2 linked regions of the Arabidopsis thaliana genome follow. The protein of the gene in region 1 interacts with the protein of each later gene in a pairwise test. Each region holds a gene or a part of one and is shown in the gene's direction. Other genes may lie near its edges. The genes, in order: SEC and MYB30.

Region 1 (8,257 bases):
AACGTTTTGTTCACGAAAAAGATAGGAAGAAACAAATGAACGATAGTAACAAAAGTTAGAAAATCCTCATCATATTGCATAAGATAGGAAGAAACAAAATAAGGATAGTAATCTTATTCAATGAGAAAAAGAGTGAGTAAACGAAGGAGGCTAAATTAGGCTTTAAAATTCGTTTGCTTCTTCAGACCCTCGAGGACTCGTTTTTTCCATTTATTATCCTCCTGCTTGGTTCGCTTTATAAAGGCGGCAACTCTCAACATGTTTTGGTCATATCGACGCTGTTCTAGAATGGGTTTTCGTTTCCTTTTGCCTCCCGGAGGTTGTTTGATTTGCATTGAATTTGGAACGTAAGGGCACAAATGTGGCCTACACTTTATGCCGGCTACATGTACTCGGAGATCCAATTCTCTAAAATATCCAGTTTTTCCAATGATGTTGACTCTGTGGTGATCAAAAACCATGGAGACTTTCTTCTCCTCGTCAATGAAGAAACTCCCATGTATATATGCAATCGGCATGTCAGCCAATGGTCCTGTATCCATTTCCAAGATCTTGCTCCACGACACTTTATCATACTCGATCTTAGTCGTGATCCATATCTCAAACTCATATGGATTCCAGTCGTTGTGCGTAAGTAAAGCCGCAAGCTTCTCTTCTCTAACACAAGATAAAGTCACATAGTCATCATGGCCAGCGCTAAACGGTAGACGCAAAAGTGGCCCAAATCTCTCACTTGTGAAATCAAAACAGATTATGTGATCGTCGATTTTGTTTATTGCGTTACTTTTTGTAGCACAAAAGTAGGTATTTCCCTTGAGAGAAACACCACGCTGATAACACGATACTATCCAATATGGAGGGACATCAAGAGTTGTCCATAAATCGGTTTCAATATCGTAGATTTCATACCATGAAAACCGGTTTTCGGGTGCGTGGTTCACGGCCGAAGAGATGTAATGATCTATAAACCTCAAGACTTTGTGGCTACGACAAGAGTTGTTCTTGTTCACGTACCCTAGAGCGTACCTGTACATGTCCATATCCTGTTCTACGCGGTGCTGCTTCTTTACTAATGTGCAGCTTCATAAAGCTCTGACTTTGGGATAAAGCGTACAACGTTTTGCAAGTTAATTTCAATGTCCTCATATACTTCATGGGAAGTCTAGATACAATATCCTCTATCAAATCCCTTGGAAGATTTAAGATCATCGTTGTCGTTTTCTCAAGTTGCAACAAGGTTTTTTTTTTTTTAACCTTAAAAAAGTGTTCTTCTTTTCCTCTGATTTTTTTCCCGCAGAAGACTATACATAGGAATTTGAAGTTGGGCCCAATCGTGGGCTTCAGAATCTTCTCTTGTTTTCTTTTTGGTAATCACATTCATAACATCCAAGTTCTTTACCAACAATGACCATTTGTATGGGGAGAGCATCAAGTTTGTATGAAGCTGGGCTAACTATGGGCTTATTGGAATTTAAAACAGTATCTTAAATTCCATCTTTAATTGAAACATTTGATAAGTGGAAGCTGCCAAAACACGCGTCCATCTTTAATTAAAATCAAATGTGAATTGTTTTCATTTTTGTGACATTTAATATTTACTTCTAGAAAAAGAAGATCAAGTAAACATGCAGTTAAGTTCAAATAAGATTAGAATTGTGATACCCTTGAATTCGATTTAGTATGCAATTTTTTTGTATTTAAAGAAAATATATTGGAGTAGACAAAGAGAGGAAGATATTGTAAATTTTTTGTTATTTTCTTTTCTCAATATATTTAAGGTAATTAATCAGGATTACGTTTTATTGTTGGCACATTTAATGCCTTTGCGGCACTATTTGGGAAAGATTAAAGATTGTTTTTGGGTGGATTGTAAATTACAACCTTTGAGAAGAAAACACTGTTGCGTCTTAGACACGTGTTAACTAAAGACAAAAGAATTTGGTTTTGTCCAGATTTTTGTTGACTCTTTGACCCCGATACGTAAAATCAACGGCGTTGAAATTTACACGTGTCAAATATTAAGTCTAATTATATGTGTGAAATCTTGATTGGTCGGAAAGAGGAAATTGAAAAAAAGGCAAATAAAAGCTAAAGAGGAAAGACGAAGCTACAGCTTCTGAGGTCGGAAAAAACGAATTTTGATAATTTAGGGTTTTGCCCTTTTCTTCTCTCTTGCGTTATCATCGGTGTTTTGATTCTCCGGCCAAGTCCCGGAGACTTGTGATCTGGGGGAATTTGGTGTTCAATTTCATTAAGACGCGATGATCTCGTCCAAAAACGGAGCTGCCATGATCTCCCGACCTGTCTTTCTTTCCGATCGAGTTGATGAAGTCTTCTCTAGAAAGCTTGATTTGTCTGTCTCTTCTTCGTCTTCTTCGAGCCTCCTCCAGCAGTTCAATAAGACTCATGAAGGTTCTGATTTGTCACGAGCTTAAATTTTTGTTTTTTTTCGATGTCCCTTCTTTGTGTAATCGCATCTTCACAGCTGATCCTTGTGGAAGTTAGTTTCCATCTGTTTTACTAAGAACACTAGGTTGTGCGATCTAATTTTCCTTTTCTAGGTATAATTGTTATGTTACAATTCAAAGATCATTAGATTTGGTGAAATCAAACTTGCTACTAACTGCTACTTGACTTTTGGGAATTCTACTTTTGGGCGAGCAAAGTTTTTAGCTTTGTTATTTGGTTTGTTCGTTTTAGGATAAAAAAGCTAACTTCTTTTGGGAGAATGTGACTGGTAATGATTGTGCTGATGTTTACTGTAAGCGTTTCGTGCAGGTGATGATGACGCACGCCTGGCTCTTGCTCATCAGCTATACAAAGGAGGCGATTTCAAACAAGCCCTGGAGCACAGCAACATGGTTTACCAGAGAAACCCATTACGCACTGATAATCTTCTTCTAATTGGTGCTATTTATTACCAGGTACTATTTTTCTCCTTATCTCATTAGTCATTACTCTATCCTCTTGTTTTCGGTTAATTAGTTGTTTACTTGTATGGTATATACCGTGCAGCTTCAAGAGTATGATATGTGCATAGCTCGAAATGAAGAAGCTCTTCGTATTCAACCTCAGTTTGCTGAGTGTTATGGAAACATGGCAAACGCGTGGAAGGTGAATGGCTTGGTCTTTGTCTGATCAGGTGGTTTTATTGCCAATACATATATTCTTATATCTGTAATCTGCTATTTCCAGGAAAAAGGGGACACTGATCGTGCAATCCGCTACTATTTAATTGCAATTGAGGTTGTGCTATATCCAATTTATGCTTCTCGATATCTGCTATTCACTTCTCATCCTATACTGATGCTTTTACCTTTCTTCATTTCCCCTTGCTTACACTTTCTTTTCAATATAATTCTTCAGCTGAGGCCCAATTTTGCTGATGCTTGGTCGAACTTGGCAAGTGCATACATGCGAAAGGGAAGACTCAGTGAGGCAACACAATGCTGTCAGCAGGCCCTCTCATTGAATCCACTTCTGGTAATTGACTTTATGATCCTTCTTTTTAAGTTTTCTGTCTCACTACTGCTGGGAGATTCACTGTCTATCTTCTTTTGTTAGTCTTCTCACCTGGTAATGTAAACTGTTCTTAGGTTGACGCACATAGTAATCTGGGGAATCTGATGAAGGCTCAAGGATTGATTCATGAAGTAAGTCTTTCGAATTAGTCTATTTAAGTTATTCTGTTACTGTTCCAACCCGATTATCTGCAATTTTCTTGTGTCCTAGTTATGGATGCGGCCCCTAATTCTACAATTGATTGATCAAAGTTTTGTCATTGCAGAAGAACTTTTAATTGAACCAAAATATATTATAATTAAATGGACGGTGACGTGATGCACTAGGAATATAGCATCACATCTGTAGTCATTTTACTGGTTTATCAACTGCAATTACTAATAGATGCATTCATTTTTCTGTGTTGTACTGTGTCATAATCCACAATCAATACAGACATCAAGTTGTTACTGAAAGGCAAGCAGGGATGATCGTCAGTCTTATAGTCAGTGTCTACTGCCAGAGTCCAAATAGTTAGAATGTAATATTTTGTGCAGGCATACAGTTGTTACCTTGAAGCTGTTCGTATACAACCAACATTTGCTATTGCATGGTCGAATCTTGCTGGTCTTTTCATGGAGTCAGGTGATCTCAACAGAGCCCTTCAATACTACAAGGTATGCTTCATTCTCTCCTAGAAAGATCCTGTTGACATTGTGTTATGTGTGCGTTTGTCCCCCAGATTAAATTCTTTATGTTTTAACTATGTTGGCTGATTTTCTTAATTTACCAGGAAGCTGTGAAGTTGAAACCTGCATTCCCTGATGCATATTTAAATTTAGGAAACGTGTATAAGGTATGTCTACGTATAGTGTGTTAAGATATGTTCAGTGCAATAATGTTTTCTGGACAATAGTAGTAACAAAATTTTATATTTCTATGTCTTAAGGCCCTCGGGAGACCTACTGAAGCGATCATGTGTTATCAGCATGCCTTACAGATGCGGCCAAATTCTGCAATGGCATTTGGTGAGTGTAATTTGATCAACTAAATGCTCAGCTGAAATAAAATATACTTGCCAAGTAAATGCGTGACGTCTTTCATAATTGACATATAACTACTAAATGCAGGGAATATAGCCAGTATATACTATGAGCAAGGTCAACTAGATTTAGCAATTCGACACTACAAGCAGGCTCTCTCCCGGGATCCACGATTTTTGGAGGCTTACAATAACTTGGTTAGCATCAACAACACACATTTTGTGGGTTTTGTGTCTGAACTATAATTCTCAGTATCTAACATATGATATTTTTTGCATTTGGAACTTGAAGGGTAATGCATTGAAGGATATTGGGCGAGTTGATGAAGCAGTTCGGTGTTATAATGTATGTGTGTTTTCCATCTGAGACTTACTAGTGAATTTGCGTATTACTCACAAACCTGTGGTTATACTGCAGCAATGTCTTGCTTTACAACCAAATCATCCACAAGCCATGGCTAATCTTGGAAACATTTATATGGAGTGGTATGTGATCCTTTCTTTCTTTTTGCTAGATAGAAAAGACTAAATGACCATAAAATCCATTTCACAACTTGAAACAGGAATATGATGGGTCCTGCTTCCTCATTATTCAAGGCTACTCTGGCTGTAACTACAGGGCTATCTGCTCCGTTCAATAACCTTGCTATAATTTACAAGCAACAGGTAGCTACGTGCTCCATTATCAATTTTTAATCATTTTTGTAGTCTTGCTCATGTTTGACAAATTTAGCTTGTTTTCTTCTCCTTTACTACAGGGAAATTACTCGGATGCTATATCCTGCTATAATGAGGTTCTTCGTATTGACCCATTGGCAGCTGACGCTCTGGTTAATAGAGGGAATACTTACAAAGAGATCGGGAGGGTAACTGAAGCAATTCAGGATTACATGCATGCTATAAACTTCCGGCCTACAATGGCTGAAGCTCACGCAAACCTGGCCTCAGCTTACAAGGATAGGTAACCATTGTCTTTATCTTTCATTTATTAGGTATACCAGACACATGTTCAAATACCGCTTAGCTAAGAACAGAGCCAAAACATCTTTACCTTGAACGAAAAGATCTGACTCGAGAAGAATTTTGTGTATTTCATGGTTCTTGAATAGCTTATGGTGTCATATATCTTAAAATTACTTACAATTTTCCTACTTCACTAGAAGCCTTTATATCTCTACGTACAGTTCTTAAGGTGGTTTCGTGTTAGGCTCTTGTTTTCTGGGATTTAGAACATTTAAGATGTGGCAGTATAACAATGAGTTAATGACCACCTTTTAACTGAGGAGTTAGTATGTTTGACCAGAAAAATATTTGTTCTACTATTAATGTATTTGTTGCACCTTCTTGCATAAGCAGTGGGCATGTAGAAGCTGCCATTACGAGCTATAAGCAGGCCTTGCTTCTACGACCAGACTTCCCAGAAGCAACGTGCAACCTTCTACACACCTTACAGGTATTTATTTTTCCTGGTTTGATGTCACACGTCTGTTATGATAGCTTCTTTCTTCTCTACTTGTTAATTCTCCCTTCGTCTCCATTTTTTCTTTCCTGCTGCTGAACCAGTGTGTATGCTGTTGGGAGGACCGTAGCAAAATGTTCGCTGAAGTTGAAAGCATTATTAGGAGGCAAATAAATGTAAGTATTTACGCCACACAAAATTTGTGGTACTTATATACTATTACAGATTAAGGTGATAGCATATCCTATTGATCCTATCTTCAGATGTCGGTCCTTCCAAGTGTCCAGCCCTTCCATGCAATAGCATATCCTATTGACCCTATTCTTGCCCTTGAAATCAGGTTTGAGGCTGATTTTTTAATACTCAATACTCATGAAAATACATGTTTATATTATCTTTATGTATATGCCTATTTCTTATAAATCCCCTATTTTTTCAGTCGTAAATACGCTGCACACTGCTCCATAATCGCTTCTCGTTTTGGACTACCTCCTTTTACCCATCCAGCTGGGCTCCCTGTAAAACGTGAGGGAGGATTTAAGAGATTAAGGATTGGATACGTGAGCAGTGATTTTGGTAACCATCCGTTGTCACACCTCATGGGATCAGTGTTTGGGATGCACAACAGAGAAAACGTTGAGGTTTGTATCCTGCACTTGGATACTTGTTGATCCATTTCTTAGGTCTGCTCTGATTTTATATCGAGAGTTTGAGTTCTTCAACCCAGTGTTTTCTAGTGAGGCTATAAAATTCGTACATGCTGGGTTTAGTTCTTATGATGGTAGGAATGTATGGAACCGTACGGGTCCTGTGTGTGGAATATAGAACTTTAGTAATTGATGGTATATCATTCTGTATCTGCCTATCCTGTTTTTGGCTTTTCAGCAAAGTAAATCACATTTTTTCCCAGGTTTTCTGCTATGCTCTGAGTGCAAATGATAATACTGAGTGGAGACAGCGAATCCAGTCAGAAGCCGAGCATTTCCTGGACGTTTCTGCTATGTCATCTGATGCTATCGCCAAAATTATAAACCAAGACAAAATCCAGATCCTCATCAATCTAAACGGTTATACCAAGGCATGCATGCTCTGAACATTTCAGAAACTTTTTACTCTGGAGCTGTACCCATTCCTATGGAAATGTTTTTGCTAACATTGTTTGGTTTAACCTATGCAGGGGGCTAGAAATGAAATATTTGCCATGCAGCCTGCTCCGATCCAGGTTTCATATATGGGCTTCCCGGGTACCACTGGAGCAACCTATATTGACTATCTAGTGACTGATGAGGTTTGCAATTGAATTATAGTTTTCTAGATATCTTCAGAACATTTTTTTTTTCCAACCTTATTTTTTCTCTATGTCATGACTGGTTACTCTCTTTTACTTTTCAGTTCGTGTCTCCTCTGCAATATGCACATATTTACTCAGAGAAGCTGGTCCACCTTCCCCATTGCTACTTTGTCAATGATTACAAGCAGGTATGCTCCGAGAAAGTTTTCTTTACCATGTTATTGTACATTCATCAGGTCCACAGTTATTTTTATAAAACTCATCGTATAAATGCTGTTTGCAGAAAAATCAGGATGTGTTGGATCCAAATTCGAAGCCCAAGCGATCAGACTATGGACTTCCTGAAGACAAATTCATATTTGCATGCTTCAACCAACTGTACAAAATGGATCCTGAGATCGTTAATACTTGGTAAACGTTTTTCCTTAGCTTTGCAAGTTTGTTTGGAAATTTACGTATGACACCTTACACCATCATGATACCATAAATAACACTCTGTATAGATGTAAATTTATACATGCACAAACTGATTTGTTTTTATTTTTTTATAGGTGCAACATTCTTAAACGAGTACCCAACAGTGCTCTTTGGCTTCTCCGTTTTCCAGCAGCCGGAGAGATGAGGTTTCGCACATGTACGTTTGGTTCCATTCAATCGCCTAGCATTTCCTTGTTCTTTCTGCTTTCTCTATCGTTTATAACCTTATTTTTTTGACCTTATATCCAGATGCTGCTGCCCAAGGTGTACAGCCTGATCAAATTATCTTCACTGATGTTGCCATGAAGAGTGAACATATCAGGCGAAGTGTCCTTGCCGATGTAATCCTCGACACGTGAGTTCTTTTGCCTCTCAACTCGATTTATCTCTACTTCAAGATATATTTAAAAAACAACACAAAAACTCAATTCTGCCACAAGTTTACCTTCCCCTACCCTGTCCTGTGTCATTAGGCCCCTGTGCAATG
Region 2 (4,664 bases), 9.8 Mb from region 1:
GCGTTATGTGAAATAATATATACTAGTAAAAGAAAATACCAAATCTATTACAATATATTATAAAGTATACATCTCCCATTTTTGTGGCCGTCGAATTTTCGTATTACATAATTACATTCAATAAAAATTCGGATTTGCAACTTGGTACTAAAATATTATGGCAAGGAGTGATAATTCAATGTAATGATGAACTTGTAAAAAAAAAATTAAAAAAATTTCAAATCCAAAAGATACGAATCTAACCTGTAAACAAAACAAAATTACAAAGGATTACAAACTTGGTTCGACTCTCGAAATTAAGTAGCAAATTCTTGTACCTCATTTCAATTTCACGGTACAAATGTTATTTTTCTTTGAATATAATTTAATATTTCTTTAAAAAATATATCTATATTTTTAATGGATAAAAATTACTTCTTAGTAAATAAAAATAATACAAATGAAAACAGTAAGATATCTACTTACCGTTTTACTAATGGTTAAACAGAAAACGGGACATTGTACGTGGAAAAAAAACATACTTAAGCAGTTTTGTTTATGATTAAAGAAAGACCATGCATTTTCAAAGTGGTTATGTAGACAAAAACCTTTTCGAGTTTCATTCCATATGTTTGATTAAACAGCCTGTTTAACACAACTTTATTATTATATCTAACGTAAATCATAAACTTTCCACAAAGTGAAAATTTCACACTTGTACAAATTGTCATTCAAAATTCCTACCTATATAAATAAATTATAGCACAACATTGACAAAAGAGAAGAAATTAAAGTAGTCTCGTGTCTCTTCTTCTTCCTTTTCTTCCGGCCTCGTGAAAACCAAATTGATTTCATCCTTTTTACTTGTTGACATTTACATACATACACATGTTCACATAAATAGATATAGTTGTATATGACTTGTGTCTATCAATCCAAAATCTTCATTATCTACTATACCAAATTCTCATACAAATATCTCTTAATCTCTTTTCACCACCTACGATATTGACATATATAACGTACAATTAATTTCATCAAAACTTAATGTGGCTGTATGACTTGTGTCTATCAAATCCAAAAATCTTCATTATCTTGTATACCAAATTCTCATACAAATATCTCTATATTTCTTTTCACCACCTACGATAACGACATATGTAACGTACAATTAATTCCATCTAAAACTATGTTTACTATAAACTCAAATTGTGGTCCATTAACACTAATCGCGAACCTTACCCGAATAAAACGTTCAACATCATGTATTCATATATGTTTATGTAACGTAATACATATAAACGCATATAAATCTATATATGGAGAAGTCGCTAACATCATGAATGACGTAGACCATCATGTAGTTTGACAATGGCCAAAGACCCACTGGTTCAATCCAAAACAGCAATTTTTTCTTTTCTTCTATATCTTAAAAAAAAAAACTATTCGTTTTGATAAAAAAACAACCAAAACAGCAAATCATGACGCAGAGAAAATCTCGTTCGTCAAAAGACCCTTTCATTAATTTCTATTATTAACAAAGCCTATGCAATACACATAAATGCAATAGCCACTATTCAATTCTTAAAATTATCGTAGCAATAAATCAAAAGTGAGAGAGGGAGATATCATATCATATATCATTATCATGTTATCATGCATGTCCCCATTATTCTTTATTTTTTAATAATAACATAAACCAATAAATTATTAAACCCAATAATATTTTTTTTGTTTGTGTTATTAGGGTTTTTGAAAGAAGCAAGCCCACATTGAATGCCACGCGGTTTTGTATGGAGGGTAGAGACTTTTCCTTTTGCCACACAGCTGACTTTGGAGGCTTTACCTCCACTTTTGTAGTTAATGCTTTACACATTTTTTATATACTTTTATTTATTATCTATACAATTTGAGAGACCCAAGAGTCCAAGACCAAGAGGGGTCAGCAAATTTCTCTTTCTCCTTTTATATATATATATAGAAGAAGAAGTGGACATAGACCTTTGTCGCCAAGCTTAACCATTAGATCCATTTCAGAGCTAAGCGTACTAATTAGTGTACTAAGGGTAGTGTGACTCATTACCACCTAAAGTAGTTTCAATTTTCTTCTATTTTTCTTGGCAAAGAGTTATAGTGGGAAACAAAGGGAGTGGTTAATAAAGAATTAATTAGTTAATTAAGGGAGTTCAAGATCATAATGGTGAGGCCTCCTTGTTGTGACAAAGGAGGAGTGAAGAAAGGGCCATGGACTCCTGAAGAAGATATCATTTTAGTCACTTACATCCAAGAACATGGTCCTGGTAATTGGAGAGCTGTTCCTACCAATACTGGTATGTATAATCTTCATTCATCATCTCTCCTCTCTACCTCTCTATAGATTTGTATGTAGATATTATTTGGATTTAATCTATGAGAGTGAGAGATAGACAAGGAATCAAATTGGTTTGGATTGAAATTTGTGTTCTCCAAATTGGTTTTGATCTTCATTTGGTTCTTCTTTAGGTCTTTAAGATTGTGGAATCAGCTTAATGAAAACATATGTAGAAATTAGGGTTTTGTTTATTGACCATGAAATTAAGATCTAATGCATGAGATCTTGTTATTTATATATTTTCTCATCGGTTCTCAATATTTGTTCGTTCTTATAAATTTTCAGGGCTGCTTAGATGCAGCAAGAGTTGTAGACTTAGATGGACAAACTATTTAAGGCCAGGAATCAAAAGAGGCAATTTCACAGAACATGAAGAAAAGATGATTGTTCATCTCCAAGCCCTCTTAGGAAATAGGTAAAAAATAATAATGACTTTTCAATTTCTCTAATTTTGTCTCTTCACACATTTTCTTTCGAAAATTAGAAGATTTGTTTTGATTTTTAATAGAGAGCATTTAATATTTGGTGTAGATGGGCTGCAATTGCGTCATATCTTCCACAAAGGACAGACAATGACATTAAGAACTATTGGAACACTCATTTGAAGAAGAAACTCAACAAAGTCAATCAAGATTCTCATCAAGAACTTGACCGTTCCTCGCTCTCATCTTCACCATCGTCTTCTTCTGCTAATTCCAACTCAAACATCTCAAGAGGCCAATGGGAAAGGCGACTTCAAACCGATATCCACTTGGCGAAAAAGGCTCTCTCTGAGGCTTTATCTCCTGCCGTTGCACCAATCATTACATCTACAGTGACAACAACGTCTTCCTCTGCTGAATCAAGACGCTCTACTTCCTCAGCTAGCGGGTTTCTTAGGACGCAAGAAACATCTACAACTTATGCCTCAAGCACCGAAAATATCGCGAAATTGCTCAAAGGGTGGGTGAAAAACTCGCCGAAGACTCAAAACTCCGCGGATCAAATCGCTTCTACAGAGGTAAAAGAAGTGATCAAGAGTGATGATGGGAAGGAGTGTGCAGGGGCATTTCAGTCATTTTCTGAGTTTGATCACTCATATCAACAGGCTGGTGTTTCACCTGATCATGAGACCAAACCAGACATAACTGGATGCTGCAGTAACCAAAGTCAATGGTCTTTGTTTGAGAAGTGGTTGTTTGAGGATTCTGGTGGACAGATTGGTGATATTCTATTGGATGAAAACACTAATTTCTTCTGAAGAGTTTGCTTTAATCACATGGTTCTAATTTTAGGATCCTCATCTCTATTTTTTTTTTTGGGTTTTCCAAATTAACTCGCTTAGATTATCGTGAGATAAATCAGTAATAATTTTATTTATTTTCCCTCTTTAATTTACAATTAATGATGGGGTTGTTTTATATATGGCCCTGTGAATTCTGAAGGGGCCTGAAAAATGTCCACCCAATGATTTTAGTAGTATTGGTGTAAAATCCTATATCTATTTTTTATTTATTAAAATGTTGTTATTGCTTGATTTTTCTTTTGCTTTGTAACTTGTAAGTATGATTTACTTTTGAGATGTTAACCTAAAAGTAATTCTGTTACAAATTAAACATACACTGACAAAAAAATTACATATATATATTGGAGAATGACCAAAAAATGCTCGCTCATATCCGGATTAATTAGTCCTAATGTGTAGTAGCCTAGTAAGTGTGGGATATAGAATTAATAATCAAATACTTACAACTTGCACTTAATTGTCAATTTATTTTCCTTAAATTAACCGTTAACTCACTAAGGAAAACACTTAACATTTATTTTAGAGTGTCAAATGGCGCCGCTCAATAAATGAAATCTTAGATTTAAAGATAGCCTTACTATTGGTGAATTTGAAAGACCTACTAATAAAGAAAATAGTACTAGTAAAGAAAAATTAACGAAATATTTATTGCATGAAATAAATAGGGCCGACAAGGTTTAAAGAAACTAATTATAAAAAGATAAATATAAATTTTAAAAACGGGATGGATTGGCACTATAAATATTGAAAGTGATGAAGAATTAAAGTTTGACTTTCTTTCTTGTGACCTTGTGAGTTGTGTGACTTACATCACATAGTTACTAAGTATGAAGAAGTCAATATCGCCATTAATTTAGCTTCTCCTTTGGTTTTTAAGATATTGCCACTTGTTATGCCGATGGTAAGAAACTTAGAAAGAAAAGAAAAATGCTAAAACCGAACCGGAGATTATAGTAAATGTATGGCAGTGGTTCTACTTTGTCTTCGGACTTAGTTGTGGGTGTTTTGCATCTACAGTAAATTTGCTTG

Evidence for each region.
Region 2: the proteins of SEC (region 1) and MYB30 interact in binary tests that used the Arabidopsis thaliana proteins (3 or more experiments, as listed by UniProt).

What each region holds. Positions count from the first base shown.
Region 1 is NC_003074.8:1,114,727-1,122,983, reverse strand, and holds the start of SEC (Tetratricopeptide repeat (TPR)-like superfamily protein), read left to right. Parts: upstream 1-2,050; 5' UTR 2,051-2,261; coding exon 2,262-2,412; intron 2,413-2,778; coding exon 2,779-2,924; intron 2,925-3,015; coding exon 3,016-3,114; intron 3,115-3,195; coding exon 3,196-3,246; intron 3,247-3,366; coding exon 3,367-3,483; intron 3,484-3,596; coding exon 3,597-3,653; intron 3,654-3,826; exon of another isoform or gene 3,827-4,058; coding exon 4,059-4,178; intron 4,179-4,294; coding exon 4,295-4,357; intron 4,358-4,450; coding exon 4,451-4,529; intron 4,530-4,631; coding exon 4,632-4,741; intron 4,742-4,835; coding exon 4,836-4,889; intron 4,890-4,961; coding exon 4,962-5,029; intron 5,030-5,106; coding exon 5,107-5,209; intron 5,210-5,301; coding exon 5,302-5,504; intron 5,505-5,899; coding exon 5,900-5,996; intron 5,997-6,106; coding exon 6,107-6,178; intron 6,179-6,265; coding exon 6,266-6,342; intron 6,343-6,441; coding exon 6,442-6,643; intron 6,644-6,912; coding exon 6,913-7,080; and 12 more. Other genes in the region: AT3G04250 (F-box associated ubiquitination effector family protein), read right to left, coding at 156-1,034.
Region 2 is NC_003074.8:10,909,267-10,913,930, forward strand, and holds MYB30 (myb domain protein 30), read left to right. Parts: upstream 1-1,865; 5' UTR 1,866-2,176; coding exon 2,177-2,309; exon of another isoform or gene 2,310-2,635; coding exon 2,636-2,765; intron 2,766-2,881; coding exon 2,882-3,590; 3' UTR 3,591-3,924; downstream 3,925-4,664.